Caenorhabditis elegans: one gene and its partners. The protein of the gene in region 2 purifies or fractionates together with the protein of the main gene of each other region. This does not show direct contact. Each region holds a gene or a part of one and is shown on either strand. Other genes may lie near its edges. The genes, in order: Y43F8C.13, txl-1, rpt-5 and spig-9.

Region 1 (9,305 bases), on a different chromosome or scaffold from region 2:
TTGAGAAAAATTCGATTTTTCACAAAAACCACTAAAAATCTTTTTTCCAAACGGGGATTTTCTCAATTTTTTCACTGAAAAACCCGCCAAAAATCTCAGATATAATCCACCTGAAAAGCCGGTGGTGGTTCCGAGTGTTTCGGCGGCCGACACATTGCGGGTTTCGGTGTCGAAGTGGCAAGTGCAATCGGTGCCTGAAGCTTCTTCACAACAATTTTGAGTGGACCCCCCGCGGAGCCCGACGAGCATCGATATTCAACGATGGGCTCTCCAGCGGCATACGGTGTGAAAAGCGTGGGCGAACTCGTGAATTTCGGCGTTTTTGGGCACTCAGGGAGCTGGAGAAGATTTTCCTGATTTTCTGGAACTCCAGAATCTTGAAATGTTCGGTTTAGGGTGCTCTCCTCGTCGTACTGCTGGGATTCCAGATTTTCAGAATTTTCAGCATTTTCCAGCACCTCATCCAGCACCAGAAGCTCTTGGAAACTGCAAAAAATATCGATTTTTTACCGATTTTTGACGAAAATATGCTCGTCGCCATTTTGTGGGCTCCAGAATATCGATTTTTAGGGAACATTTGACTGAAAATTACAAAATTTGAGCGAAAATAGCTCATAACCGTTTTGTGGGCGTGGCCTGTTAGGCTCCGCCTTTTTTTTTTTGAAATTTTGAAGTGTCAATTTGTGTTTTTTCCTGCAAATTTTTTTTTTTTTTTTAGTATTTAGATAACAAGCTCCACCCATTTGGTGGGCGTGGCCTGTTAGGCTCCGCCCTCTTTTTTTTTGAAATTTTGAAATTTCAATTTGTTTTTTTTGCTGTAATTTTTGTTTTTTTTTAGTATTTAGAAAATAAGCTCCGTCCATTTGGTGGGCGTGGCCTGTTAGGCTCCGCCCTCTTTTCAGGCAAGAATATCGAATATTAGAAAATTTTTGACTGAAAATCCGAATTGATTTTTTTTAATTGATTTTTTCGCAATTTTTGCCGAAAAATCGCTAATAACCATTTTGTGGGCGTGGCCTGCGCGGCTCCGCCCCTTCTTAGGCGAGAAAGTCGAATTTTCGGTAGTTTTTTACTTAAAATTCGATATTTTAACAAAAAAAAGTTGGGCAATTCAAAAAATTGTCTCAAAAACCTCAAAAATTTCTGCAAATTTTCGATTTTTATAGGAAAAAATTAAAAATTTGAATTTCGCGGCTTTTTTTTGGACATTTTAGATTTTTTTTTAAAGGAAAAATGTCAAAAATGGCTACAAAATTTGAATTTTTTTCGAATTTATAGCATTTTTGCCGCAAATTTTCGTACTTTGCCACGTCATCATCGGAATTTTCGAAATTTTCAGATTTTTTGGAAATTCCAACGTCATCAGCCACGTAGAGCTCCTCTTTATCCATTTTTTGGGCCAAATTTCGCAATTTCAACGGTGTGGCTCCATATGGATAGGCTCCGCCCACATTTGGAGCATTTTGAGCATTATTCGAATTAAAAACGACAGCCTGGGTGCCACGACGACCATGAAAATGACGTTTTTCGTACGGTGAGATGTATTTTTCCGATTTTTTGGCGAGAATTTCCGGAATTTTGGAGGATTTTGAAGTTGGCGGTGGAGCAATGTGTTCTGGAAGAAAAATGGGTTATTTTTGGCGGGAAATTTCGAATTTTGAAGATCATTTTTGAGAAAAATGTGAAAAGTTGGAAAAACTTGAATTTTTTTTTCGAAAAAAAATTTTTTTTGCAAAAAAATTATCGTTTTTTGGAATTTTTTTAAAATTCGCTCAAAATTCGTAAAATTCCCAATAAAAAGTGAATATTTCGAAAAAAAATTTTTTTTTAATTTTTGAAAAAAAAAAAAATTTTTTGAAATTTTTTTTAATTCTTAAAAAATTTAATTTTTTTCACAATATTCCTTAAAATTAGCTTAAAATCACAAAATTCTAAATTTTAGCGATTTTTCCACCGAAAATTACAGAATTTTAACACAAAATCCGACAATTTTGGTGGTTTTGCTGGAAATTTAGAATTTTCCAGAGGTTTTTCCGTTTTTTCAGGATTTTTTAGAGAAAATTTTCGAAATTCACCAGAAACTCAATGGTAAATTGCCAATTAAAATGAAAATTTTGAAAAAAAAAATTTTTTTGAATTTTTGGAAAAAAAAATTTCTAAAAATTAGTTTTTTGCAAATTATAACTATTTTCTCTGAAAAAGTCCAATTTTGCAAATTTCCACTCAAAATTCAATTTAAACCATAATTTTCATCCGAAAACTTGCGAAAAATCCCATTTTTTCTGGATTTTTCCCAAAACTTTTGGGATTTTCCGATTGTTTTTTCTAAAAAATCAATTTTCCATGTAAAAACTGTATAGTTGGTGTGTTGACAGTGCAAATAAATTAACAATACATGTGAATTTATAAATTTGCATTTGAATAGGAGAAATACCGGGGGAAATGGTTTTTTTTTCTCATTTTCCTCAATTTTTCTCAATTTTCCCCATTTTTTTCCAGTTTTTTCGCATTCCCCTATCGATTTTCTCAATTATCGATTGATTTCCGCACCATTTTCAAGACTTTCAACCCTTTGCGTGGGCGGAGGTGGGGGCTTCTGCTCCAGCATGCCGGAGCACTGATCGAACGCGGCGACGAGATCACGAATTCGGCCGCGTGGCACCGGTTTGCGCCACGTAGCATCTGACGGTGGTGTATCGACGATCGGGTGCGGCATCCAGCGGTAGAACTGGAAAAAATTCGGATTTTTTGTGAATTGTATCGATTTTTCCGGATTTTTGCCCTACCTGACTTGATCCGATTGGCACCGGAGTTGGCGGCATCGATTTTCCGTCGAAATTCTCCATTTTTCGTCAAAAATCTCCGAAAAAACGGCGAAAAACCGTCTAGAAATCGCAAAAATCGATTTTAAAAATTCAAAATTCCATCGAATCCCTCACATCACTGAATTCGTGGCGAGACCTATTTGAAGTTTTGAGCTATGCGCCTTTAAGAAAAACCGTAGTTTTTTCGCGAATTATCGCATTTATGCGGAATTACGGCGAAAAAGCGAGAATAATCGAAGAAAATGCGATAAGAATTGATAAAAAATGATAAGATTGTGTGCATTATTCAGGTGACAGATTGATTTTTGCCCAAATGTTGCGTTTTTTGCGACGAGAAATAATTCATATATTTATTTAGTTATTTTAAGTTTAATTTTTTCACTTTAATAACATTACGCTCTTCAGAAAAAAGACAACATGACTGTGGACAAGGTTAAGCTGGTCATTGGTGAGTTAAACGGAGAATAAAAACAAATTTAAACCAATTTTTGAGTAAAAAATTCTATAAAATTCGTTAAAACTCGAGTTTTTTCTTTTCTTTTTTAAAATTTCTACTTTTCTACGTTCAAATACACCGAAAACGTATTAATTCCGAAGATTTTCGTTAAAACACTGGAAAATTCGAGCTTCCCGCCAGAAAACTGAGTTTGTCATTGGAGCGTGATTGCATTGCTTGGCGATTTAAAAAAACGAGTCTAGACGCTTCAATAATCGATTTTTTCGGATTTTCAGATGATAAACGAGAATTCTAATTTAAAAAAAAACAAGAAGTCTTCAAATTTTCCACTTATTTTCGTCAAAAAACACTTGAAAATTTGAAATTAGCGTCGGAAAACGGACTAGTTCACTGGAGCGCGCTTGCTTAGCGAGTTTTATCGATTTTTAAAGTTTTACATAAAGTTTACCAAATTTTAAGCTTTAAAAACAAAAATTAATCGATTTTCAGACTCTGACGGTGTAAGCGACGACGTGCGAGCCATCTCCCTAGCCTTGCAGCACCCAAAAGCCGAAATTCTCGCATTCACCGCAGTCCACGGCTGTGTGACAGTAGATCAAGCCTGTGCGAACATCAAAAGAACCATCCGAGCCAACGATCGGAGCAATATCCCAGTGTACAAGGGTGCGGCTAAATCGATTTTGTCGCTGCCGAAGGATGATACCGTATCCGATTTTTTCGGGATCGATGGGATCGGTGATAAGCCGGAGGAGTTCCCGAAAGTCGAAAGATCCGATTTTGAGGGGGAGGGGAAGCATGCGTCACTTGCTTTAATCGATATTTTGAGAGAGAATCGGGATGCCACTTTGGTGTAAGTTGAGGCTACAGTAACCCTTCTGTACCCCCACCGCATCCCTACAGTACCCCTACAGTACCCCCACAGCGACCTACAGTACCCTTGCACTATCCCTACAGTACCCCACAGTACCCCTGCACTATCCCTACAGTACCCCACAGTACCCCTGCACTATCCCTGGTACCCCGGACAGTTCCCCTCTAGTATTCACGCAGTAGTGTTACTGTATCCCCACAGTTCCCCACTGTGCCCTTGCAGTAACACTACAGTATCCCTACAGCAACTCTACAGTAACCCTATAGTACCCCGACAGTACCCCAACAGATCCCCTACATAACCCTACAGTACCTCTGGTAACCGAACAGGTACTCACACAATAGTGTTACAGTACCCCTACTGTTCCCCCCACAGTACACACACAGTAACCCTACAGTAACCCTACACTAATTCCACTAAAGCCCTATGGTACCATAACTGTATACCTACAGTATTTCTACAGTACCCCTACAGTATCCCTGGTACCTGGACAGTTTCCCTACCCTACCCCAATAGACCCCCTACAGAAACCCTACAGTACCGCTTCAGTACCCCTACAGTACTCCTACAGTACCCCTACATTACCCCTATAGTACCTCAACATTACCCTTTTAAAGTCCTACGGTACTCCTACAGTATCCATACAGTCCTCCTACATTTTCGCCTACGCCGAGCTATTCTGGGTGTCAAATTTCGATTTTAATCTATTTTTGCTCAATTTTCCCTAAATTTTCAACAAAACCATTTTTCAGAACCATCGGTCCCCTCACAAACGTGGCGATTGCTCTCCAACTCTGCGAGGAGTTTTCGACGTACCCATCCCGGCTGGTAATCATGGGAGGAAATTATTACGCGGTCGGAAATGTTGATGGAGGTAGGTTCTTCAAAAAAAAAACTAGGGTGGACCACTTTGGCGGGCCATATCTCGTTTCATTTTTGAGATATTAGAAAAGTTTCAACTATAAACCTGTTCAGAAACATGTAACAAACATTTCATCAGTTAACAATTTGTTGACAAACCCAAAACCGACGGAGATACAGACCCGTCAAACCCCAAAAAGCCCCCCTAATTTTTCCAGGTTCCTCAGCCGAGTACAACTTCCACGGAGACCCGGAAGCCGCGAGCATTGTGCTCCGACGTATGAAGTGTCCCATCACCATTGTTCCATGGGAGGCATTCTATTTTGAATCAAAGACCCATGATGCTTCAGTTGATTTTTCGGCTCATTTGAAGTATGGAACCCCATTGGCTAATTACTTATCGCTGGCCACCAGCATTGGTAAGGTTTTTTAAAGTTATAACTCGAAAACTAGGGTAGATACTAGATACCAAAAAAAAACTGTCAATTGGAAAGTTGTTCAGCGTAAAATTCTGCATTGATTTGACCCCCATGTCGATAATTTTCAAATTTTCGAATTTGACACTTAAAATTGCTCGCGGAGCTCCTAGCCTTTCCCAATGCTTCAAACGTATTGAAATTTCGTTTTTCGGATAACCCGCAAAATCCTACACCCAGAAAACTCAACTTCCAGCCTTAGCCAGCAGTTTTGTAAAGGGGTCGAAGTGGCTCAACTGGGTACATGTACGGCTTTGGTGAAATAGGTCCGGGCTTCTCGAGGCCCCGCTAGTGTGTCAATAATTTTTTTAGAGTTCGAAGGTCTGTAGATTAGTCAACAAGTACATTTTTTTTTTAGAGTTCCTAAATTCGATTTGTATGTTCCAGGCCGCGTAAAATGCGAGGCCAACGGCCGCCAATACTCCTACTGCGACGAGATCGCTGTGGCTACTGCAATCGATGAGGATAAAATTGCAAAAAAGTCTCAGTACCTGTATGTCGATGTAGAGCTGAATGGAACAAAGACACGTGGGCAGGTTGTGGTTGATTGGACCGAGCAACTGTGGTCGAATGAGGAAGCTCCGAATCAGGTGAAAACAAAAAATCTGGGGTTCTGTATAGTTTTTGAGGCATAACTCGGAAACTAGAAGAGTTATCAAAAAGTTGCCAACTGAAATGTTGTTCAGCGTGAAATTCTGCATCGATTTGACCCCCATATAAAAAATTTTCAAATTTTCAAGGTCGATACCCAAAATTGCTCACGGAGCTTTTAGCTGCTCATGGTGTTCCAAACTTATTTAAAACATGATTTTTGGGTTCCCCGTAGTATTCTACATCAGGTACGGTTGAATTCCAGCCTTAGCCAGCAATTTTGAAAATGGGGCGAAGTGGCTCAGGTGGGTAGATTGATGAGGCTATTGTGAAATAGGTCAGGGGTTCGAATCCCTTTGGGTTTATTAGTATTTTTAATGTTATATACAATAGATATACAACACTCAGACAGTCCAAAATCTAGATATTATCAATTTTTTGTTTAATAAACCAATTTTCAGCACACCCATCGCCGTGTCAAATTCGTCACCTCTTACGACGTTCATACTGTGGACAAGTGGCTTCATGCAGCCACTTCTGGAAGTGGAAAATTCGATTAACTCTTTAAAACTGTAAAATGTCACATTTATTGCTCTTATTTATGGTGTGTGTGTGTGTGTGTTGAAATTTGCAATAAAAAGTTATTTTTTAATGAAAATTATGACTTTTTCGAAGCATAACTCGAAAACTAGAGTAGATATCAAAAAAGTGTCAACTGAAATGTTGTTCAGCGTAAAATTCTGCACCGAATTGACCCCCATTTAGAATATTTTGTAATTTTCGAATTTGACACCTAAAACTGCTCGCGGAGCTCCTACCTGCTCCCGGTGAACCAAACTGGCTGAAAATCTGATATTCAAAATAACCGTGAAATTCTACACCAGGGACACCTAAATTCCAGCTTTAGCCAGCATTTTTGAAAAATGGTGAAAGTGGCTCAACTGGGTAGATGGACGGCTATGGTGAAAAAAGCCAGGGGTTCGAGTCCCCGCTAGTGTCAATAATTTTTCCAGGGTAATGCAACATGCAGGCAGATGTTTTAATGGAGAACATCAGAAATTTCAGCTGAATTTCGCAAATTTCAGGTTTTTCAAATAGTTTTCCGACTAAATCGCAAATAACTGAAAAACTAGAAGAGTTATCAAAAAGTTGCCAACTGAAATGTTGTTCAGCGTAAAATTCTGCATCGATTTGACCCCCATATCAAAAATTTTGAAATTTTCGAATTTCACTTCTAAAATTGCTCACGGAGCTCCTAGCTGCTCCCGGTGCTCCAAACCAGCCGGAAATGTAGTTTCCTAGTTTCTAGTAAAATTCTACATATATAAAAAACTCAAATTCCAGCCTTAGTCAGCATTTCTGAAAAAGGATGGAAGTGGCTCAACTGGGTACATGGACGGCTATGGTGAAATAGGTCCTAGGTTCGAGTCCCCGCTAGTGTCAATAATTTTTACAGAGTTAGTTGGCCCTCAAAATAGTCGAAAATCTAGCAATATACTATGTTTTTCGCGAAAAAATCAATTTATTGTTCTTCTACTTAACAGAAAACGGCTAAAAATCACACAATTTCAACAAAAAATGGGTAATAGGTAATAAAATATGAGTTGAAAGAGAAAAAAAGGGAGAGCACCGGTTTCATTTTGTGTGAGAAGTGAAACTTTTCGTGAAATTTCCAAAAAATTGAGCATTTTTCGGGAATTTTCGGGGGTAAAAATTGGGGGATAAATATGAATTAAAGCTTTGAAAATATTAATTTTTGGGTGTCAATTTGTGTCAATTTCACTCGTGTTTGTCCTGTTCCGCAGCGTCGGCGACCATTTTTGCGAAGGCGCTGTTCTTGTCGGCCATTAGGGCGTCCGGTGTGTCGAATTCCAGAATTGAACCCTTATCGAGCACCATTATTCTGGAAATTTGGGATTTTTCGGGGTTTTATGAAAGGTAAAATGTGGGGGTTTGCGTTGGAATATTCATCGGGAATACCAACAAAAAAAAATTTTTTTTTCAAAAAATTCCAGTTTTTTGGGTAAAAAATCCCAATATCAGCGGAATTTTTTGAAGATTTTAAAATATTTTCCAAAAAAAATTTCGATTTTAATTCATTTTCTGAAAATTTTATTGACTTTCAGACAAAAATTTCCATTTTTAGCCACTTTATTAAATCAATAAATCGTAAAAATTCGATTTCAATAGAAAAAATCGATAAATCAAAGAAATTAAATTCAATTTATCAGAATTTCAGACATTTTCAGACAAAATTTTGGTAGAAAATTGCGATTTTTACGGACTTCTTCAGGCAGTTTGGGGTAAAATCGAAAAAAATCAGTATTTTTTTTTCAATTTTTGATTTTTTTTAAAGAAGTAAAATTATCGATTTTTTGGGAAATCGATAAATCGCAAAAAAATTTTTAGATTTATCGATTTTTCATAAAAATTGAAAAAATTATTTGTTTCAATTTCGATGCTAATTTTTAAAAAGTCAATAAATTTAACAATCTTCGATTTTTAAAAAATCGATAAAATTCGATTTTGCTAGAAAAATCGATAAATCAAAATTAAAGTCAATTTCTTTGAATTTCAAGCATCTTAAGGCGAATTTTTATGTCGAAAATTACGATTTCCACGGTTTTCAGTCAGTTTTTGGTTAATTTTTCGAGTTTTTGGAAAAAATCTATAAATCTAATTTTTTTCCATTTTTTCATAAAAAATCGAAAATCGGAAAAAAAAAAATTTTTTTTCGATTTTTTTTTCGAAAAATCGATAAATCTAATTTTTTCAATTTTTAATATTGAAAAACGATTTTTTTTTTCGATTCTAATAAAAATCGAAAAATTCCCGATTTTTATAAAAATCGATAAATCGATAAAAATTAGATTTATCGACTTTTCAAAAAATTGAAAAAAATTGTTTTTTTTTTTCAGTTTTCGAAAAAATTAAAATATAAGATTTTTATAAAATTCGAAAAATCACAAAAAAAATTAGATTTATGGATTTTCAAATAAATTGAATTATTTTAGGATTTTAAAAATCGATAATTGTAAAGGTTATCGATTTTCAAAAAAAATCGATAAATGGAACAATTTTCGATATTTGAAAAATCGATAAATTAATTTTTTAAAAACTCGATTTTAATAGGAAAAAAAATCGATTTATGGTAAAGTTATCGATTCGATTTATGGTAAAGTTATCGATTTTTGACAAAAATCGATTTCAAGCATTTTCAGACC
Region 2 (9,459 bases):
ATGGTTTTTGAATTCCCGCGCAATCTAATTTCGGCATTTGAGCGTTTTTTCGGCTATATTTATTGGTTTTTATTAATTTATTATTATTATTATTATTATTTGCTTTTAAACATATTTTTCGTGTTTTCAGTCATTTTTTTTCTGTTAAAAAAACGGCTGAAAATTTAAAATTTGTCTGAAAATCGATAATTTAGCATTAAATATTTTCCGCAAAAGTCTAATTTTTTGCTAGAAAATCGATTTTTAGACAAATTTTAGGGTCTCAGCAATTTTTTTCGGGGTAAAATGTCTGAAAATGAAAAATTAAATTAAATTTTCCTAATTAGTTTTTTTTGCGAAATTTTCTCAAAAAAACCATTTTAAAAATTTGGAAAAATTCAATTTTTTCCAATTTTTTGAATAGAATTTTTTGCCGTATTTTTTCCGAGTTTTTACTCAAATTTTGCGAAATATTTCCAACCTAACATGAGTGGATTGATATCCAACTCTTGTATTTGCAATATCTGAGGCCAATTTATCAGCCAAAGAGCACACGTGACGAACTTCTGAAGAAGCTTCTAGAACATCTCGATACCGACGGCCGACCATTTCACGGAGACTTTCTCGTTTTCCTTCCATTTCTTTTCTGAAAAAAATGTTTTTTTTTCGAAAATTATCGATTTTTCTGAAAATTATCGTTTTTTTAAACTTATAGCTTTCTTTGCTGGAAATTGTGGAATTTTTACGATTTTTTGACTTTCTCAATATATTATTGAATTTTCTGAAACCTATCGTTTTTTTTTTGAAAATTATAGCATTTTATTGGAAATTATCACTGTTTTTTTTGAAAACTAAGGATTTTTTTGGAGATTATCGTGTTTTTTTTTTGGAATTTACCGATTTTTCGACTTTATAAAAAATTAGTTTCTGAAAATCAGCGATTTTGATTTTTTTTTTGGAAATAATACCTTTTTTTGGAAACATTATACGCTTTTTGCACTTCAATTTTAAATGAATATTTTGAAATTTTGATGTGAAAATTTAAAAAAAAATTGTTTCTCATGAAAAAATTGAATTTTCTATTTTTTAAATAACACTCTGTTTAAAAAATCCCGAAAAATCTTATTTTCAGCCAATTTTCCCGAGAAAACATTAAAATTTCTTAGTTTTGCTTTTTTCTTAGCTTTTTCGAAGATTATAGCCCTTTATTGAAAATTATCACTTTTTTTTTGGAAATTGTTGATTTTTCTGAACTTTTTGAAATTTCAATTTGCAAATATTTTTCTCGCGAAAAAAATTGAAATTTCTATTTTTTAAATAAAATTTTGTGAGAAAAAAAAATACTTTTTCAGCCAATTTTCACCAGAAAACATTAAAAATTTCTAATTTTCAATTAATTTTTGTTTTAAAAAATTAATTTTTTTCAGCAAATTTTTCCGATTCCTCATTTTACAAAAATTTCTTCAACACATCCACGTGTCGATTTACGCAGCCCTCGTGTACTCCACGAGGAGAAGCTTTTGTTTCGAATTTTCTCGAATTCCCGCTTCTCTTACTCCAAATTCTGCTGAATATTCTCCAGTTGCTCGACCGATAGGTCACGCATGAGCCGGTCAACGTCCATCTGAAAATTTCAGATTTTTTCTTTTTTTTAAATTAAATTAGAAATATCTAGATGAAATGAAACATTTTTCGAGTTAAAAATTGAATAGGATAGCTTGGAGAAATGTGTTTATGCTGAGAAAAAAAAATAAATTTAAATTTAAAATTAAAATTAAAATAAAAATGATACACAAATCGAGAAATAAATAAGGAAAATATGGAAACTGGGATCAGCGAAAGTATGGTTTTTGGTACATGACAATTAGAGAAATGAATTGGATAACTCGTTGGCTCACAATCAGTTGATAGGAAGAAGGATTGATGGGCTCAATGAGCTGCATCTCCAGCTTTTCCGGCGACTCTTTTGAATTCGTTCATGTTGAGAGCAGACAGAGGTGTTCCGAAGACTGTAAGCTTGACGAGCTCAGTGACCTGGAAAAAAGGAAAAAATTGGAGGAAATTGGAAAATTATAATAATTTTGCTCTGAACCAGGGGTGGGCGGCAAACGATTTTTCCGGCAAATTGGCAAATGTCGAATTTGCCGGAAAAACGGCAAATTGCGGTTTTGCAAATTTTTTTTTTTGGAAATTTCAGAATTTAAATTTCAATCGGCAAAATTGTACGCATCCTATGAATATTTCTACATTTATTTTGAAAAGTAGGCAAATTCTATGAAAATATCTAAAGAAAATGGGGAAAAAATTTCAAAAAGGCATAGTTTTAAGTTTTTCCGTCTTATAAATAATCCCTCTAAAAATTTCCGGCAAATCGGCAATTTGCCGAAAATGAAAATTTACGACGAATCGGCAAATTGTCAGATTTAAAAATTTCTGGCAAATTGGCAAATCGGCAGTTTTCCGAAAATTAATATTTACAGAAAATCGGCGATTTTCATAATGAGACTTCCAAAAAAAATCCGAAAAATTGTTTTGCAGCTCAAAAACTAAAATAATATCGGAAAAAAAACCAAAATATTGTTAAAATCCGAAATTTCGCCGGAATACATTTTATATTAAAAACAATTTTTCAATATTTTTTAAATGGCGGTTTAAAATTTCGAAAAAAAATTTGCTAATTTTAGCTAAATTTCAATTTTTTTTTTTCAATAATGTCTGAGAAGTTTCTTCACGAAATTCGTTCATTAATAAAGCGAGTTTTCGTGATTTTACTGAAAATCTTTAATTATCTTTCTTTATTTATTTAATACGTTTATTAAATAAATAAATAAAAGCATAATCAATAGTTTTGGGTAAAATTTTAGTAAATTTAAATGTTTTCAAAGTAATTTTTATCGAAACTTACATCTCCTCCACCGACATTATTCTCAATGAAAAATTGAATATTCTGAACATTCTGGAACTTGACATATTTCAACGCGACGACTTGTCCGTGCCCTTGAATAGAAGATTCATCAAATTCCAACATTTGAGTTGGCTCCAGAGCTGTTGCATTATCGAAATCCGTAGTTTTCGGAAGATTAATGAACACTTTGACCTTCTTTGGAGCACGATCCGATACTCCTTTAATAAGAATTGAATGAACTTTGACTGGTTGATTAAATGGAAGTGAGATGATCAATTGCTCATCACAATCTGAAACCAGATTGCAGTTTCCTTCGAGAAAACGTCCCAGTGGAGTATCATCAGATTCATTCAAACATTCCATTTGTTTCTTATCGACAAGAGGTGTCAAGTCCATTTGACCAGCAACCAGTGAGTCGGCTGCCGAGTTGTCTGCGTACTTTTTCACCATTGTTTCCAGTGCTTTTGCATCGGCTCCTTTCATTTGTTCCACGCGGACTCTGCAAATTTTTATTTTGGGGAGTAGAGTTTCTGAGGTGGGCGGATATTTTTTTCGGATATTTTCTAATAATGAATTTATCAATAAGTATTGATGTAGTTATTCTGGAAGAAATGTAACCAAATCAAAGAGTAACTATTAAGCAACATTTTAATATGATAAAATCTAGAAAAATTCTACAAGTTTTCCTTACCGAGACCTTAAAACTTATTAGCCGAGCAACATCGGATATCGGATATTACGGATATCGGATAATGGACTTGCATATCGTTTATACAGAAAACTTGTAGAATTTTTCTAGGTTTTATCATATTAGAATGTTGCTTAATAGTTACTTTTTTGTTCGGATACATTTCTTCCTGAATAACTACATCAATACTTATTGATAAATTCATTATTAGAAAATATCCGAAAAAAATATCCGCCCACCTCTGTAGAGTTTGTGGGTATTTTGCTTAAATAGACTAAAACTGGTCCAAAACCACCGAATTTCATAATGAGACTTCACAAAAAATTTCCAAAAATTTTTTATGGCTGGTCAAAATTTAAAAAAAAAGAGCCAAATTTTGCTAAAATCTGAAATTTCGCACACTTTTCTTTGTCACAGCCGCTGGATTTTAGTTTTTCTGGAATTATCACCGTTTAATCCTTATTTTGGTAATTTATCTCGCGGAAATTCGTTAATTGAGACAACTTTTAGACCGATAGGCATCCAATTTTGATAATTTTTGGATGCCTATCGGCCTAAAAGTTGCCTCAATTAACGAATTTCCGCGAGATAAATTACCAAAATAAGGATTAGAGGGTGATAATTCCAGAAAAACTAAAATCCAGCAGCTGTGACAAAGAAAAGTGTGAGAAATTTCAGATTTTAGCAAAATTTGGCTTTTTTTTTTTCGAAACTCTGCAATTTTTTATTTTGTGCTCAACTGTGAAAAAAAATTATAGAATTAGGTTTTCTGAATTTTTTATTTTTTTTTAATTTTTTTTTTTTAATTAAATTTTTTCCAAATATAAGAGAAACGGCTGAAAATTTGATTCTTCGAATTTTTTACAAAAGTTGAGTGAATATTTTTTTTTCGATTATGCGATATCTGAAAAATCGAAAACTTTTCGTTTTTCCTATTTTTTCAAAAAAAGCTCAATTTTTTTTCTTTTTTTTCTTCTTTTTAGAAAAAAATGTATGTTCTCTTATGTTCTTTTTCAGGAACATTAACAAAATTTAGTAAAAAATAAAGTTTATTTTATTGTCAGAAAAAGATTTTTTTTCGATTTTCCGATTTTCCGGAAAATCGAAAATGTTATATTAAGTCTCAGAAATAATTACTAAGGGTAAAGCTTTTAAAGCCTTTTCAATTTCATTTTGAATATCCACAAAATATTGATTTTTCAGGTTTTACGAGCCAATTTGCAAGAAATTTATCGGTTTCCAAATTAAATTTTTTTTAATTAATCAAAACAAGGCTCTGCAATTTTCAATATGCTATAATCCAACTTTTTGATCTAAACTTTATATAGGAATGTAATTTAAAAAAGGTCTGTTCCATGTGAAAAAATTATTTATTTTTTTTGAAAAATTTGAAATAGGCCTCGCACCATTTGAGGCCTTTTTCAAAATTTTCAACAAAAATAAATATTATTTTCAGATGGAACATAAATTTTTTCTACATTTCTATATCAATTTTAGATCAAAAAGTTGGATTATAGCATATTAAAAATGGCAGAGCCCTGTTTTGATTATCTTTAAAAAATTTAATTTGGAAACTCATAAATTTCTTGCAAATTGGCTCGTAAAACCTGCAAAAATCAATATTTTCAAGATATTCAAAATGAAATAATTTCTGAGACTTCACTTTTTTGCAATTTCTTCAAATTTCCCGCATTTCTATTCCAATTCCAGATGAGACCCATACCCGCTCTGGAAAACCATGAACGTTGGCATCGAATTGACACCGTTCTCTGAGCTGGTTTTCTCGCAGATCTCCACATCAACTTTCAGAAAAACTGCTCCAAGATATTGATTGGACAGAGCTTCAAATGTTGGAGCAATCATTTTGCACGGTCCGCACCAGACTGCAGTGAAATCGACAATCACTGACTTGAGACCAGCGAGGGAAAGCTGATTTCTGAAGTCTTCGTCGTCTTTCACGTTGATAACTGGCATGGTGTAGGGGAGATGGGCTGAAAATTAATTTAATATTTAGATTACTGCACTTATTTTTTTAAGGTGGTGTAGTCGAATTTTTTTAAAATTGCTTCATTAGACTCAAAATTGTCTCAAAACACCGAATTTCATGATGAAACTGCTTGAAAACTTCTCAAAAAAAGTTATGACTGCTCAAAAAATGGCCTAAAATTAGTTAAAATTTGAAATTAGACCGACTTTTCAAGCGGCTAAAAACTACCTTTTTTGAAATCACCGTCAAATTTTGAGTATATATAAAATGTAATTATCTTGCGTTTTCAACTCGATTTAGGTATTTTAAAGTCGATGGACGGCGAGATTTGGTTTAAAAAATTTAAAAATCTCGCCGTCCATCGACTTCAAAATATCTGAATCAAATTGAAAATGCAAGATAATATAATTGTATACTCAAAATTAGACGGTAATTTCAAAAAAGTTAGTTTCCAGCCGCTTGACAAGTCGGTCAAATTTCAAATTTTAACTAATTTTAGGCCATTTTTTGAGCAGTCATAACTTTTTTTGAGAAGTTTTCAAGCAGTTTCATCATGAAATTCGGTGTTTTGAGACAATTTTGAGTCTAATGAAGCAATTTTAAAAAAATTCGACTACGCCACCTTTAAAATACGGATTTTTAATCGAAAAATGCAAAATAATCTCAAAAAATGGGAAAAATCCCCAAAATCTAAAGAAAAATTAAAGAAAAAAATTGGGTTTTGAAAAAAGTTGTTATTTTGTAGTTGAATTTGTTGAATTTTTCCCGCTGAAATTCCAATTTTTAAGCTTTCGCATCATTTTTTTTGGGATTTCTGGCAAAAGCTATTGTAAATACTCCCGGAACAATGCACGAATATATTTTAGCTATTTAATACGCAGAAATTGTGAAATTTCGTTATTTTTTGGGCGATTTCTGGGGAAATTTTGACCGAAAAATTGTAATTTCTGGGATCACCGCTTCCAAAATTGTTCAGTTTATAGTTCTAGGAGCAAAAGATATCTCATTCAGAAGAAAAAACGAAAAAAAAATTTCAAAAAATATAGGAATCACGCCAATTTAAATAATTATTCATTAAAAAAAAGATTTTTTGAAGGTTTCCACAGTAAAATGCATTCATTCTCAAACTGATTTTTGGGTAATTTTGGGCATTTTACACGCTAAAATAGGTGAAAAGCACTTTTAAACGCTCTGAACACAATTTTAATATGCAAAAAATAGTATAAATTCCGGAAAATTAAGAAAATCGGCATGAAACGTGGATTTGTCAGCATTCAAAATGAATGCCGGTGCGGCGAGGGAGTGCACGAAGCGTGGAGACGCAGCGGACAACAAACGCGCTCCAATGGACAAAAAGTGCGGGAAACCGGGACTGTTCAAAGTGTACGCTTTGTCTGTCGTCTCTCCCATTTATTTTTTGGTTTTCGCGAATAATTTCGCTGAAATTATTATTTATTCCTGATAAAAATGAGTTCCCGGGTGACTAGATCCAGGTCCCAGACTCCGCAGACTGCTGTAACCGACTTTTTCAAGGTAAATTGGAGTTTGAAGTTATGAATTGCAATTATTTAATGTTTTTTTTTCTTTTTCAGACCACCAGAAAACCGAGAGCAAGAGGAGAAAAGAAGATTATCGATGAAAGCATCACAAAGACCACTACAATTAAAGAAGTACAAATTCCTGCTGCTCCAATCGTCGAGAATAAATCCTCCCGAACTCGCGCTCGGACTCCATCCCGTCAAGCGGAATTATCGAGTTCCGGAACTCCGCCAAAAAAAGCTAGAGAAGCTGAAGCAGAAGCCCCTGAGCTTCCCAAAATCCATGAAGATATTATTCTGGAAAATCCGGCTCCTCAGAAGTCAGCGATCGATAAGCTAATGGAAGCATCCGGCCCAGCGAAAAAGAAGGCTGGAATTCGAACTGTTGCAGATTTACAAGCAAGAATAGCTGCAAAAGGAGCAGCTAAAGCGATTCATGAGCAAAATTTGAAGAACAAAACGAAGCAGGTCGATGATCACGTGGAATTGCTGAAATCTCCGAAGAAACCAGTTATTGTTGAGCATCACAAATCACCTCAGAAATCCAAGGCCGCTCGTAATCTGTTCTCACCGAAGAAGCCAGTTCCAGACTATATTATTCCCGGCTTTAATGTCCTGAAATCGGCCGAAAAAGTTCGCGGAGAGCAGGATGATGCTCACGAAGAAGAGGGAAAACGAATGACTGCAGAGTTTCTGAAGAGCTCACGGCTTATTGATGAAGTTAAGGAGAGTGCACGTCAACGGATTGAACTTCCAACTGCGTATGAACATCTCGCTGATACTTTCAAACGAATCGATCAGATCACTGCGATCTTTATCGGTCAGAATCGAAGCTGTGTGGTTCCTGAGTTGATCAAGAATGTTAAGAATACGTCTGGAAAGGATTTTTCCAATGAACATTTGTCACAAATTCTTCATGTATATCCTCAATCATATCATATTGAGATGCGTGAACAGCGAAAAGCATTCGGCCAGGGCGGGAAGTATGAACTTGAGGTTCGACCGAATCTCGTGGAAGGTTCGTAGCTTTCGGTTGGCAATTTGCAATAAAAACATTTAAAAAATCAGCTATTTCTGACGTATTCCATTAAAATTTAGTGTCAGAAAATAGAAAAAATATTATATTAATCGTAAAATAGCATTCTTTTAAGTTTAAAAAGACTTATCGATTTTTCTTCTCTGTTTGATCACCTCCACACATTTTTGAACTCGAAAATATTTAACGATTAATAAAATATTTCTCTATTTTTTAACAGACCCTATTCATGCTCCTGATACTGATTTTTGATGTGAAAATTTTTCAAAAAATTCAAAAAAAAAGCCCTGGTTTTATATTAATTTTTGGAAATTCTAAAAATACTAGCTTTGCTCAAAAAAAAACTGAAAAAAAACACAATTTTCTCTTCAAAAAGTAAGAAAAAACACAGCTTTTTACCAGATGTTCGAAAAAAAAACTTTTTTGTTTAAAAAATCCAAAAAAAAAACAATTTTTTAGTAAAAAAATTCGAAAAAACTCAATTTTAAGAAAAAAATCCGGGAAAAAAACACCGTTTTTTAGTCATAAAATCGGAAAAAAGATAATTCTTTATTCAAAAAATCCGAAAGAGCTCAATTTTTTAGTCATAAAATCCGATAGAACAGCGTTTTTTGTAAAAAAAACCGAAAATACCGAATTTTTATTCAAAAAATCCGAAAAAAAAACACAATATTTCAGTCAAATAATCCGAAACAACGCTATTTATAAATTGGAAAAAACACCATTTTTTGTTCAAAAAATTAGAAAAAAACAATTATTTTTAATTTAAAAAATCTGGAAAAAACACAATTTTAAGTCGAAAAATCGAAAAAAAAAGACACATTTCTTTAGTCAAAAAAATACGAAAAAACACCTTTCTTGTTCAAAAATCCGAAAAAAACGCAATTTTTTAGTCATAAATGCGAAAAATACGCAATATTTTAGTTTAAAATATCTGAGAAAAACACAATCTTTGTGGCCAAACATTGAAAAAAACACCTTTTTTTGTTCAAAAAATCCCAGAAAAACGCAATTTTTTAGTTATAAAATTCGAAAAAACCCCAATTTTTAGTCAAAAAAAAGTTTCCTGCTTACAAAAAACCTTTTTTTTTGCAGATCTACGAGGCTACATTTACGAAAAATCCCCCACCGACGGCGACACCGAAGATCTTCCACTAGTCTGCCCATCAAAGCTGCTCTCCCCAAAGAAAAGCCCCAGAAAACAAGTTCAACCGGCTCTCCGAAAGCCAGAAGTCGACGGGAGGATTCGCCTGGACGCTGCTCGTCAAAGAGACCGAGCTCATGTTTTCCGTTATAAGTTGGCCTCGATTGTCACGAAATGTCATA
Region 3 (7,303 bases), 2.5 Mb from region 2:
TTACATCTGATAGAAAACATGTATCATTTCCAATGTCTAAGAAATTCGAAGGAACTCCAGAAAAACTGCTAAACTTTGCATTTGCTGCATATTCTCTGGAAACTATTAGTAAGATTTCAAATATTAGTGAACACTTGGAAACTGTGATCAATAACGGTGAAGCTGTTCTAGGAGCTATCAAGAATATAACTCATCTGAAAATTAAACAAGAGATTGAAGAGACTTGGAGCAAATATCCGGAGTTGAAGAAAAGCCTGGAGAAATTTAGAAGTAATAAAATGAAACTGGATGATTTTATGATATCTGTCAGAACTGAGAAAAACCTTTCACAAATTGGATCAATTTACAAAGAAGTCTCAAATATTCCATTTTCAATGCAATTTGATTTTAGAAAAATGAGAGAATCTTTGAGATACCTAGAAGTTCCCATGAAAGACATGGAAACATCATTAGGAGTACTTGAAAGATTATTTGGAATCAACTGGGATCTTGTTTATACTAATTTCGTGAAAACTCCATCGGATATGGTAGACTTGCAAGAAGAGTTCTTGAGATTTTTGGAATCGAAAGAAGAATCAATTGATTGGGCTTATGTTGGTGGTGCAGCAGCAATCGTGGTCTTTATTTTGCTGACATCAATCTTGGGATATTGTATTGAACGTTGGACGTGGACATGCGTTTAAGAAAACTATGAGGTAAGATTTTTAAAAATATATAGTCTGTGAAATGATTTTTGGCGGAATTGCGTTCGTGGGAATTTCACATCATTATACTTTAAATGTTCTAATCTGTCGGAATAACAGTCAAATTAAATCTACCTACGAAAACGTTATTTCCCAAATTTAGCTCCTATTCCTGTTTTAATTTTCTCCAAAATGAAAATCCCACTTTTTGCCCAATAAGTGTCTTCAAACTCTACACTCTATAATTTAATTGATGTGTTAACCTGCAATTTAGAAAAATATTTAGAATATGCAATAGTTGTACGGAGGCTTTCTTTGATGTTGTTAGAAATGAAAAAGAACTGAAATGTCAGCGTAAAGGATTTTGTCGAAAGGATGTGAAGGAATGGAAAAAGTGTGAAGCATGCAGATATCAGCAATGCTTGGAAATTGGTATGACACTTGAAAGTAAGTCCGATTTTTGTGCCCAATATTATATTCGTGAAAATTTGATGCTCAAAAAACATTGTAGCTTCTTTATTTGCATAACAAACTTCATAAGTTTCAGGTGTTCCTCCTGGCAAACAGCGTCATTCGGCAAAAAATAAAAAGCATCAAAAACGAAGCAAAAGTCTCAAGCCGTCTAAAAAATTGGAGACACCATCAGTATATGATAAGGTAGGTTTTTGCATTGTTGCCATTTTTGTTGAAATTTTAGTCATTTACTTTTCAGTCTGAAGACAACATGGTTTAGGCACATTCGAGTTTGTCAAGTGAAGAGGCTGAAAGTATGAAAGCTTTGACGTCGTGATCAATATAATTGCATACTTTAATCAATACTGGGCACTTGCTCTATTCTCCAATTCTTTCTGTTTTTCACAATCTATTAAAACAAATTAAGTTCAATAAATAATTTATCAAAATTAAAATTTCCACTTTTTCAATTTCCAAATATCATTTCGCTAAACATTTTCCATTTCTCGTTTTACTTTGTCGTTTGACAATTATGAATTCTTCTCAATATCTCAATGGAATCATTATTCTAATCACCATCTTGGCCATGTATTGCAATGAATTATCGATTAAAATTGATATGGAATGTGATTTTGGTGGTAGTGATATACCACGTGTCTGCGTTTTCATCGAAGTTTTTGAAGATGAGCCTATGTGAGTTTATTGTAAAATATTTCTATGGCTTTTATTTCCAAAAATTAGTAGGACCAATCAGCGTAGTATTCCAGATGATTTTTTGAAGAGAACTAAATCCACAAGTAACAGTGAATCTTAAAACAAATATTTAGGTACGAACAACTTCTCAGAAATCACTCACGATGTATTATCACTGACTTAATTCATTTTTCAAGAGAACTTGAAAATAAGGATTATTTTTATCCGGAAGGCGAAAAGCATCGCGTTCGAGTTGGCATACCACCGATTAAATTTCGGAAAGTATTGAGAAACCAGTTAGTTTTAATTTTAAAAAACTATGCATGACTTTCAAGTTTACAGGAAAATTTGACAATGTTCGTGCAAATCTCTCACGATTGTAGTTCCAATAGGAAAATTCGATGTTTTGAAACTTCTCTCTATTACAATACGACGATTTCTAAAAATGAGTGAGCATTTTAAAATTTCAATAGGGTCAATTGACAAAAAAATATATAATTTATAGGATATTCATTACTGATAAGCTGAAAGATCAAGGAAGAATGAGAGCATGCAGTCCACGTTGGGAAGGTAGCGAACTATGGAATGGTCAAATGTTAAATGGAAGATATGATCAATGAATTTTGTTTGAAATAGTTTTGTTTTTTTTTTATTTCAGTGCAGAAAAATTTCTTTGAATATAGAGTAGTACTGTTAATGGGAACTCAAACCAGTTTAACTCAGTACACTTAATCTGATTGGGACTATTGGTCTTGCAGTTCTCAATTTAGTGGAAACTTAATTTGAAGATAGATGTTTTCAAATCTTGGAATTTATATTCTTTCTTAATTTGTTTCGTTTTTCCCTTGCAATACTTCTGAATTTCAGCCTGGTATTTTGAGCAGAATTATATTTTACGAATTCTACTACAAATATTTCAGGAGCTTCAATCAAGCACATAATTTTTTTAAAGGACTATCTAGGCAGAAAATTTGTTTCCACTTTTTTATTAGCCATTCAGTTTTTTTTCTCTCCCAGCTTTGAATGACTCTCAGGTGTCCCATACTTTATTATCTGAAATATAAATACTTTCTCGGCTGGAAACACCACAAGATTTGAATTTTAATATACTCTTTTTCTTCGTGATTTTTGCCTTTTAATCTATTAAAATATCTATTTCAAAATATTATGAATTCCTATACGTTTTGAGAACCCCCTTCAAAAATCTTTCAGTTTTGAACATGCGTTTGAGTTTTTAAATAATTTTTTAGATAGGCAAGTTTAAAAAAAAATTAAGATATCAACAAATTTAGAACAACCTGTAATTTTTTTAATGTATTTATTCATTTATGTTTTAGTTATCGTGAATAGAAAACCGCCGCAAAATTGCTTGAAAATAACTACCATAAACCTTTTGGCGCGTTACCACCCATCAGAATAAATCCGTGCGCCTTATAGAAAGCTTGCCAAAATCTTGTGAAAATACGATAAAAAATCACAATAATGTTTTAAAAGATTGAATAATCAATAATTCGAATTTTCAGGATGTGGGTGCATCTTACGGCCAACTTTTGACAGTGAATGGCTCAAAAAGACAAATGAACGTGTCTACAATAATTATTCTCATTTTGTTTTCAATCGACCTGAGATCACTTATCCAGATTGTAATGCAATTTCTGCTTTGTGTCCTCCGCAATCAAAAGTAGTAGCATATAGTCATAAGACAAAAGAATTGGTAACAGATACACCACCTGTAAGATTAAAATTATTTCAGAAAGATAATCAATGAAATACAAATATTTACAGCTCGAGAAAAATCCCTTTATACTTTCCGAACTTTTCTGCATCGATGGAGAGTGGTTCAAAAGAGGTGTTGGTTCCGAAGATTCGATGCTTACAGGATCCCCAATTTCATGTGCAACTACTAAATAATTATCTGATACACTTCGCATTATTCAATAATGAAATTGATAACAGTAATTGTAAAGATATTTCAATTGATAAATATTTTCAAAAAAGAAAATACTTTCTATCTAACGAGACCCAAATGAAAGAGGCGGAGCGTTTCCATTTGGCACTGGGGCGCGATTGCACTTTAGCTTTTCTCTGCATACGTTTCACTGACGTCAGTACTGACTTCTGGATCGGTCAAGTTACAATTTGAGATGTCTCGCTAAATGTTTGAAGAGCACGCAGAATGTTGAAACAGTGAAAGAAACACATTTCGAAGAGTGACCATTTATGCACATTGATCGGAAATAAATTAGGAATCCACGCACTTCGAGGATGAATCAATAAAAACAGGAGAGGGGTGGGAATAGAATACGAAAGATGAAAGTAAGAAAAAATCGCGTGAGAAAATTCGGGAGCGATTCAAAGGGAACACAGTGACAACCGGGAGTGAAGGATTAAGCGTAGTAATTGAGGGACGCCTTTTTCTTTGCCTGGACCTCCAGAATAGCATCCATAAAGTCTTCATGAAGAATCTCAGTAGCATCTCGTCGAAGAGCAATCATTCCAGCTTCAACACAAACCGCTTTGCATTGTGCTCCGTTGAAGTCATCGGTACAGCGGGCCAGTTCTTCAAAGTTTACATCCTTGCTGAAAAAAATTAATTAGACTAAATTTTACAAATAAAACTGTCGCGAAAACATACTTGACATTCATCTTCCTGGAATGAATCTGCATGATTCTGGCACGGGCATCCTCGTTCGGATGGGGAAGCTCAATTTTACGATCGAGACGACCAGAACGAAGAAGAGCGGGATCGAGCACATCGATACGGTTCGTTGCAGCAATGACCTTAAATTCATATTTACAGCTTATACCGTCTTAAAAATATAACTTAAAATGGAACTCAGCTTACCTTGATATCATCATTTGGTTGGAAGCCATCAAGTTGATTAAGAAGTTCCAACATGGTACGTTGCACTTCACGATCTCCAGCTTTCTCTGAATCGAATCGCTTCGTACCAATGGCATCCAACTCATCAATGAAAATAATAGCTGGAGCCTTTTCCTTAGCAAGAGCAAAAGCATCACGAACAAGCTTGGCTCCATCTCCAATGAACATCTGAACAAGTTGTGGGCCTGCGAGCTTCAAGAATGTTGATTTAGTTTGGGCAGCAACCGCACGGGCCATCATCGTTTTACCAGTTCCTGAAAAACGAATAATTTACACTTGAGCTGTTGTAATTAAAATGGTTATTTTCTAGGAGTACTACTTTATCAAAAATTTTTCGTAATCTTACCTGGTGGTCCATACATGAGCACACCCTTTGGAGGATGAATACCCAAATTAACAAATCGATCCTTGTGAGTCATTGGAAGCACAACAGCTTCAATCAGCTCCTGAATTTGCTTGTCACATCCTCCGATATCGGAATATTGTTCAGTTGGCCGTTCGTCAACTTCCATAGCCTTCACACGAGAATCATATTCTGCTGGTAATTTTTCAAGAATCAAATATGAATCCTTATTGACACCAACGAGATCTCCTGGCTTCAACTCATCTGGATCGACAAGTCCAACAACTGGTAAGAAATATGTGGCACGAGTGGAAGTCTTAATGACTGCGCACTTGGTTTTTTGGGCATCGAGATCAACATTTGCGCCTTCTTCTTCTGTATTATCCTCGAGATCAAGAAGTTCGACAACGTTGGACACCAAGTACGGAAGAGTTTTGTTAACTTTGATACGTTCAGTATTCTCCTTGATCCGTTCTTTGAGAGTGGTTGCAGAATGATTGATACGTTGAACTTCACTTCTCATAATACGAATCTCGTTGTCCAACAAGTGGGTACGGCTTTTGAGATCTTCCGTCGACATTTTCAGAATCTCCTCATCAATAGCATCCTCCACCTCCATTGCCTCTGGGTTTTTTCCGTCTTTTGGCGGTGGTGTTTGCGACATTGTACTGCTTCTGGGGCCTGAAAATTAGTTGTAATTGCTTCTGGTGAGATCTGAAAAGTAGTTCCAGAGAATAACGCAAAGTCAAAGTTCTGGACAATAAAATAAAATCAGTAACACAATGCGGTGTAAATGAGAATATTTAGTTCAAAAAATTAAACGAACGCTAATGTGTATTGAGCGAGTGACAATGAGAGAAAGTGTTTATCACGAGAAATAATGATTAGAATAAAAGAAAGTTTGACTTGATAATTTCACGATGGCCCAAAGGTTACGTCAGTATTTAGCTTACTATTAGGTTTACGTTCCGTCCACAAAATCTGTTTTGGCTAGCTAAATATTATTTAAAAAAGTTTAAAATTTGTGTTACTATCTTCAAAATATCTTTAATGAGTTCTCAAGATAAAAAATTTTGAATATAAACTTAAAAAAAAACAATAATAAGCTTTTTAGCCTTCAGTAAATGATAAAGAATCCAAAAGAACGAGAAATTTTGAAAAGGATGATTTGTGCAATTTAGCGTCGCGGTGAACCACACAGAAGGCATTTAATTTTACGACACTTGAAGTCTTCGTGCAGTTTTATTTGTTTTTATCAGAAAAAAGTTATTTCCACATGAAATTTTCAGCAAAATGATCGAAAAAATGATTCTACGAAGATTTTTCTCAACAAAATCATCAACGATGCGTGCATGGGTCTCTGAAAACGGATCTGGAGTTGAGCTCAAAGAAGTGCCGCTTCCAGTCATAAACAAACCAGGACAAGTCCTTCTAAAAGTTAAAGTGAGATTAATATTTCTTGATTCAAGCAATTTAAATATTTGTAGGCAGCGTCTGTTAATCCGATCGATGTTGACATGTCTCAAGGATACGGTAGAGAATTCCTAGGGACGTGGAAAAAAATAGAGTCCTGTGATGCAGCCGCGTCTAGATTCCCTCTAATTCCAGGAAGAGATTGTACAGCTGTTGTAGAATCTGTTGGTGGCGATGTGCACAATTTAGCTCCCGGTGATGAGGTAACGAAATCCTATTATGCATCGATTCATGATTAAATATCGTATGTTTTCAGGTTATGGCTGTTGTTCCTGTAATTCTTCCAGGCACACATGCCGAGTTTGTTGTCACTGATTCGAAGTATTGCTCTAAAAAGCCCAGCAATTTGAGCTTTGTATCAGCTGCCGCACTTCCTTACGTCGCATCGACAGCCTACTCAGCTTTTACAATAGCCAGGGTCTCACAACGAAATGCCAAACAACAAAGAGTTTTGATTCATGGAGGAGCCGGAGGAGTTGGAAGTATGGCAATCCAGCTATTGAAAGCATGGGGATGTGAAAAGATAGTGGCAACGTGTGCAAAGGGCAGGTTAGATTATCTATATCTTTGCAATTTTTCAAATAAAAATTGTAGTTTCGATATTGTGAAGCAACTTGGTGCAATTCCAGTCGACTACACATCAGACCAGGCGACTCAGGAATTGATTGAGCATGCACCATTTGAAGTTATTCTTGATACTGTCGATTCCCAGCTAGCAAAGTGGAGTGATAATGTAAATATAATTGAGAAGTGGAAATTAATGTATAAAACTAC
Region 4 (6,564 bases), on a different chromosome or scaffold from region 2:
CTTTAAAAAATCAACATTAGGACTACAAATGCTATATAAAGTTTTTTTTGTTAACTGCATCAATAAAAATACAACAATCTCAATTTCGATGATCAGTGGGGATGCTTTTTATAGACGTCTTTTTGCAGAAAAAGTGTGTCAGATATGGTAAAAGTGCAATAATTGCAGAAGTTCAAGATCGCCTAGATTTCATTGAACCAGCAAAACCTTTTTCTTTGCAAAGAAATATCAAAAGTGGAGAATAGAAACGAGAGTCGTGTTCAAACCAACCATGGTTCAAAAGAATATCATTCGAGGAGGCGGTCGAGATTCAAAAAGTGCATACTAACAAAGAATTTCGAAATCAACAGAAGGACTACGTGCAGCAGCTGAGAAGGCATCCGATGGATTGAAGCGGCAAAAACGAGAGAAATATAATTGCTAGAAGAGAGACGCAGAGTGCGGAGACATTGTGACCTGGATCGTATCCAGCAAGAGAATGAGGAAGCCTACAATGAGGAATTAGAGACGGAGACTAGAGATGGCTAACGCTAAAAAGTTGAATGCGTCCGCGCGGGAATATCTCCAGCAGTCGTCGCCTCTTGTTCCCAGAGGACGGTTAGTGCGTGAATTGTGGGAATGGAGTGATGGTCGAAATAAATCGGGATTATAAACCAAGAAATTCAATGAAGTCTGAAAGCTTTTTTGTTGATTTTCAGAGACTACCCACGCAACGAAGGGGAGGAGCGAGAGCATTGTGAAATCAAAGTTTACCAGCTCAAAGAATTTGATGGAAAATTATTTGTTGGTTTTTGATGCTAAAATTTAATGGGGTTTTAATAGTTTTACAACTTTTGAACAAACATTGAATTCAGATAAATTTAACTGCAAACATCTTTACAGATAAAGTTCAATAAATTCTTACGATTGAAGATGAAAAATGTTTTGAATTTTTCTAGATTTCTTATGATGTTTCGTTTCAAAAAAATAAAAAGAGCTGAATTATTTTTGAATTATTTTCAATATTTTTGCGTTTTACGGCATTTCTGGTTGGTTTTTCTTAATTTTTCAAAGAATAAATAAAGGAAAGCGTATCAGTGTTGCTGGAAAACGCTTAAAATGTTAAAAACTACATCTCTTTGTGCGGAAATTTGAAAATAATGCAGCTCTTTTTTTTGGAAATTGAAAAGATCATTAAAAATCTAGAAAAATTCGACGAATTTTTTACAGTTATATTTGGTATATTGGGACCAAGGGTGTCAATGTCCCGTAAAAATTACAAAAACGGGACAACGGATGTCCCGTTCCCGCGAAAACACCCAAAAAACGGGACAACGGGACAAACGGGACACGGGACTTGACACCCTTGATTGGGACTGTTTTCTCTCATTTATAGCAAAAAAACCACAGAATTTGACCGACAAACTTAAGATTAGCAGGTATAAAACACACTGTCGATATATTCAAAAACTAAAAACTTGAAAAATTCTTTCCTTTTCTGTAGTCTTAATGAAAAAGTTTCATGTTAAAAACTTAAATCCAGAACACTGAAATCTTTCTTGCAAAGCAGGGAAAGTGAAAGTCCATTATTTCACTTGCTCGTTCAAAACTAAAGCTTTGTTATCTCATCTTTGATTTTCAGATTTTTGAAGCTTTGAGGATTGATTCTGGAAGATTTAGCTTTCAAAGATCAATCATATTTTGTGGTCTGGCTTCTGGCTGCCAACTGAACAGGACAACATTAGTTTCAGCCTTGGAAAATTTGGAAGTTCAAAATTTAGTTCACACAACTGAAGAATAACACTTTACTCAAAAATAAAAATTACGAACAATCATAGATTGTAATACAGACGATACTTGAGTTTTAGAAAATTATTCGGAATCAGATTCAACTTGAATGGAAATCTCGTCTGGTTGACCGAATTCAGCTGCCTTGCTTTCAACGAAGGCCTTGTAGGCTTGCTGAAATTAATGGGTACTTATACTCCTGGGAGACAAACATTTGAACTAAATACTAACCTGATCATTAGCTGGTGCTTGTTTGATAGCTGCATCAGTCTCAGAAATGATTTCTTGGAAAATAGTTTTTCCTGATTTCTCAGAAATTTCTCCATCGTTGTTGTGGCTGGCTGTGATGTCTACAAGCTTGTTAGCGGTTTCCTGGGAAATTCCAGCATCGAGCAACTCTTGCAGATAATTGTTTTCTAAAGAACTATCAATTAAAATCGAAAATTAAATTAGTAACTTTACCATTCTCGTTGAGGGCAATAACGGAAACAGCGAGAATTGCTACAAAAAGAGATGTCCAGATAGAGTTCATGTTGAAATGATTTAAATCGTCAAATGAGGAATCTACCTGTTATTTTATACTAACGGATTAACTGGTACATGGAAACTGCCGGATTATCGTATGAAAAATGATCATTGTTCGATCGATATGGTTATGTAGGCGGATTTACAGAGAGATGAACTTTGGTGTTAATTGGGAGAGACTAACCAGGGGAACAAAAGTAATAGGTTTTGATTTGTTGGACATTCCTAGAGGGCATTTGATTTATAAAAAATTTAGTGAAATGTTCGAATAATAGAAGACATATGAGAACTTTTGTATATTTCAGACATCAATCCTTCATTGAATAACAGTATCTTCAAGTAATTTTTTAAGATAACCTTTTGGGAATAAATACACAAAAAAAACTGCACATTGAATGTGTAAGTACCAATAATGTTTTTTCTTGCGATTTTTCTCAATTGACTTTTTTCTGTTTTTTTTTAAATTAATGAATTATATTTTATTAAATTTAGCAAGCACGGTTTGCGATAGTATGTTACTTTTGGCATTTCTGGCGATCACAAAAGTTGCCATAAAAACGTTCAAAAAACTTTATTAAAAATCAGAAAAACTGTAAATAAAGCGACGTGAGTCCTCCATAAATGCTGGAATAATGTCCGAAAACTGGAATTTGATTGAGAAATTCTCCGAGTTTCAAATAAAATTGTTCGCGATTCTTTGATTGCGTCATAATCCGTGGCACAGTTCCATCAACCATATGTTGAACTCCTTTTGAAACTTTATCTGCTTTACATCTGTCATTTTTATCCAAAAACCAGAAATTATATTTTTCAAGCACTTTCTCCTTATTTCCACCAGTTTCTCCGTCCATTTGAATCATGATCGGTGGGTTTTTCTGGTCTCCGTAAATCCATTCCCATCCCGTTACCAGACTGAAAATAACAGTTTTGATGAGCTTAGAAGATCGATTTAAAATTTAAGATGCCTTGGATAAATTTTAAGTTAAATTGAATTTAAAAATATGAAACCTTGAATCATCAACTTTTTTGGTAGCCATACCTGTATGGAACATAATCACATGAATAATCTCCACGGAGACAAAACATTTTAACAAGATCTGGGTCAGTAATATACACACTTTTCTGCCAAAATAACCATGATTCTACTAAAGACTGACTGGAAGATTTTGAGGGAATATAGAAGTTTGCACCGTTCATTGTTCTTTTTCTGAAATTATCCAATCAATCGTTTCAATCATATTTAACAACTGTATTTTATTACCGAATATCAGCGGTTCCTTCGAATCCTTGTTGATCAAGAAGAATATCACTATTCTCATATTTACTCACATCGACCAAGTTAAGAAAATTATCACGCCAAACTGTATCAGCCTGAAGCATCCAAAACGGTTTTCCAAGTTTTTGAAGTGCATGAATCATATTGGTTCTCATTAGGAAAAAGCTCATGTATGTTATGTCATATGGGCGGAATGTTTTCTGAAAATAATCACGTGATGAAAATTAATGTTTTTTGTTTGAAAAAATATTTCAGATGGAAGCTAAGGATTTTAAGTTTTAAGTATCAACATTATACAATACTTTTTTAAAAACCTACAAAAAAAGGAAATTAGTTGCGCTAGAGAACCCTAGACAATTTCAGAATAAAAATTTCAGAATATTTAATTGTATTATTTTCAAAATGTTCTCTTGTTTTAATCAAACTCCACAAACAAACAACTCCGCCTTTAAATTCAAAACTCACTTGAAGTACTGGTGCCAACCAGATGACAATATTCAATCTTGGATACACTTTTCGAAGACTTTCTTCCGAAAACTTATCCATAACTAAGAATAGCATTTTCTGGTGAACACCCACAAAACTTTTTGTATTGCACAACCAATTCAAAGTCATTTTTACAGCGTGTCGATTCAAAAGCATAACTCCGTATCCATCAGGAAGTTTCCTTACAGCTGTCTTCAACTCTTCATACTTCACAATATGACTCCAATGAAATTCAGCTTCATTTTTGCGAAGAACTTTTAGATTTTTATAATTTTGATAGATATTATTAAATATTAAAGACAATGGAATAGCTGAAAAAAGAATGAATGCAATAAAGAATGGGCGCATCTTTTTTATGTTGATTGAATCTGGGAGGCTTAGGAACGGTTTTTATGTTGTCCTACTTTTAATTATCTATTTGTAACATCGAGAGTAGGTGGTCAGGTTTTGAACACCTCTTGAGGTTACAGAGAAGGGCGCAAACTTAATGTTTCCGTGGATCTACTGTTTTTTTTTTGTTTTATTGCAATGCTAACACGGCAACGAACTATCTTTACTTTATTGATTTTTAAAAAAGTTTTTTATTGGTTTAACAAAAAATTTAACAATCAAAAAATCACATGTTTGACCATTCCAGAGTAATCACATCAGAAGAAGTCAAATCTATAAAATTCTTTGTTGAAATGTTTAGAATCTTGGTGATTCCAGAGTATGTTGAAGTCTGCACATTGACATTAATAGATTGCCCATTCAAACGGAACGATCGGAAGTTCGGAGGTGTTGTGTAGTTAAAGATTTCCAAAATATCCAATGTAGGTAAAACAGTTGTTCCCTGTAAATTTGCATGTATAGAAAAAGTCAATTTTTAATTCACAAACCTTTCTAGTTCTTGTAATGGCCAACGAAGCACCGTTAATCGTAGAGTTGAACTTAAAATCGAACTGATGATAGTCATGGGTATCAAATGAGTCCACAATCCTCTGACCATCATCCCAGTACAGAACTCCCGCAGCTCTACCAAGTTGGCAAGGTGCAATCAGGAGCTCGAAGGGGTTCAATCGGCTCATTGTTGTTGTTGTAGTCGGAGTTTGGCGTGGAATGACATAGCCTCCTGAACAAAGTTTCAAACTAGATTAAATACAATCATGTTTTCATTGAAAGGAGAAATAGAGATTTAATTTCATGTAATCTTAAATGAGTAACCGTAATCAAAAAACCTTCTACAGTAATCCGACACCAAAATCTTACCTCTAACAAAAACTGGAATTCTAGAAGTGGTTGGAGATGGAACAGTTATGAATCCTGGGTCGATTCTACTTCCATACATATAATTGAAAAGTGAGTACCATACATCATTTGGTAAATAAAGGCTTGTGGAAACTGCTCCTTGATAAACTACAGGAGCCACAAGAATACCGGAGCCCCACATAAACTGATAGCCCAAATCAAGTGTCGCAGAATCCGTTGGAAACTCAAAAAAGACTGGTCGAACAACTGTTAGACCATCTTTTGATGCTTGGAAATGAAGACTGAATAGATGTGGAAGGTATTGGTAACGGAAGAGATTTGCGATCTTTGTGGCGGCCGCTACTGATGGCCAGACTGCAGGATCTTGTGCAGGTTCTCCAAGAGTATTGTGGTTACGGAAGAAACTATGAAAAGCTCCCATTTGCTGCCATCTGAGGCATAGTTCTTCGTTTGAAGTTCCCAAAAAACCACAAACATCTGAACCAACGTATCTGAAAATAAGTAGGTTTCAATTTAAATTTCTTCTACACGTATCACTTACGGAATTCCAAATAAATTAAATTCTTGAGCTCCAATTACAGATGTTCTTAAATCTTCCCATCTTGCTGTATTATCTCCCAACCAATGACCCGCATATCTTCCAGCTGACGGGAATGTGGATCTTGACACTACTGCTCCACGTTTTCCAGTCACATCGAGAAGTGCCTGTTGAGTTTGAATTGCTTCAGTCAGTCCGAACAAGTTCTTGACATCATAGAATCGATAGGTTCCGTTGTTTTGAACTCCACCCATGCAAATTGTTTTAGAGGAGAGATATGCGTTCTGAAGCACATTTATTTTTTTTTGCCTTCCAAATGAAACCTATGCCATTTGAAATAGAAAGAGAAATTTGAAAAACATATGCCTGAAATTCAGCAAATTATCAGTTCTTTCTGAAACAAGAAACAAAACAGGAGCTTGCTTACAATTTTTTAACTTCAAAAGCCAGTTTTCTGATTGAAAAATCAACTATTTCTCACATAATTCCTAGTAGATTTGTTGCAAGTTTTTAGTTATGTATTCGAGATTAATAACACCACTTTCAAATGATGAGCGTTCCACTTGGAAGACCGAAAGTGAACTCAAGCAGTTTTCTTGTAAGATATTTTTACTTATAAAATAAATTAAAATCACATACATTTTCATTTCCTCCATAATAATAAACTGCATGCGTCTGATATGGTGGAAGATCCCATTGATTTGATCCATTTGTCTGACAGTAC

The links.
Region 1: the proteins of txl-1 (region 2) and Y43F8C.13 fractionate together in Caenorhabditis elegans (co-fractionation; one large-scale study listed by BioGRID). This does not show direct contact.
Region 3: the proteins of txl-1 (region 2) and rpt-5 fractionate together in Caenorhabditis elegans (co-fractionation; one large-scale study listed by BioGRID). This does not show direct contact.
Region 4: the proteins of txl-1 (region 2) and spig-9 fractionate together in Caenorhabditis elegans (co-fractionation; one large-scale study listed by BioGRID). This does not show direct contact.

Annotation. Positions count from the first base shown.
Region 1 is NC_003283.11:19,691,324-19,700,628, reverse strand, and holds Y43F8C.13 (Nucleoside hydrolase), read left to right. Parts: upstream 1-3,230; 5' UTR 3,231-3,242; coding exon 3,243-3,273; intron 3,274-3,771; coding exon 3,772-4,132; intron 4,133-4,905; coding exon 4,906-5,027; intron 5,028-5,232; coding exon 5,233-5,433; intron 5,434-5,877; coding exon 5,878-6,080; intron 6,081-6,542; coding exon 6,543-6,641; 3' UTR 6,642-6,729; downstream 6,730-9,305. Other genes in the region: ani-3 (Anillin-like protein 3), read right to left, coding at 111-486, 1,303-1,615, 2,551-2,728, 2,787-2,846; Multidrug resistance protein mrp-7, read right to left, coding at 7,861-7,984.
Region 2 is NC_003279.8:3,225,535-3,234,993, reverse strand, and holds txl-1 (Thioredoxin-like protein), read right to left. Parts: upstream 5,564-9,459; 5' UTR 5,547-5,563; coding exon 5,296-5,546; intron 3,384-5,295; coding exon 2,885-3,383; intron 2,014-2,884; coding exon 1,909-2,013; 3' UTR 1,708-1,908; downstream 1-1,707. Other genes in the region: cogc-1 (Conserved oligomeric Golgi complex subunit 1), read right to left, coding at 461-625, 1,536-1,603; cdt-1 (CDT1 Geminin-binding domain-containing protein), read left to right, coding at 7,027-7,092, 7,152-8,115, 9,229-9,459.
Region 3 is NC_003279.8:5,737,835-5,745,137, forward strand, and holds rpt-5 (26S protease regulatory subunit 6A), read right to left. Parts: upstream 5,738-7,303; 5' UTR 5,721-5,737; coding exon 5,060-5,720; intron 4,968-5,059; coding exon 4,675-4,967; intron 4,611-4,674; coding exon 4,465-4,610; intron 4,410-4,464; coding exon 4,217-4,409; 3' UTR 4,034-4,216; downstream 1-4,033. Other genes in the region: F56H1.10 (uncharacterized protein), read left to right, coding at 1,669-1,829, 1,964-2,125, 2,165-2,278, 2,335-2,449; rad-8 (Reticulon-4-interacting protein 1, mitochondrial), read left to right, coding at 6,350-6,499, 6,544-6,732, 6,786-7,078, 7,124-7,262. UniProt on the Caenorhabditis elegans protein: Component of the 26S proteasome, a multiprotein complex involved in the ATP-dependent degradation of ubiquitinated proteins.
Region 4 is NC_003283.11:13,609,566-13,616,129, forward strand, and holds spig-9 (Minor capsid protein), read right to left. Parts: upstream 2,321-6,564; 5' UTR 2,300-2,320; coding exon 2,230-2,299; intron 2,184-2,229; coding exon 1,999-2,183; intron 1,942-1,998; coding exon 1,852-1,941; 3' UTR 1,772-1,851; downstream 1-1,771. Other genes in the region: F53F4.7 (Nucleotide-diphospho-sugar transferase domain-containing protein), read right to left, coding at 2,874-3,204, 3,332-3,499, 3,554-3,768, 4,034-4,402.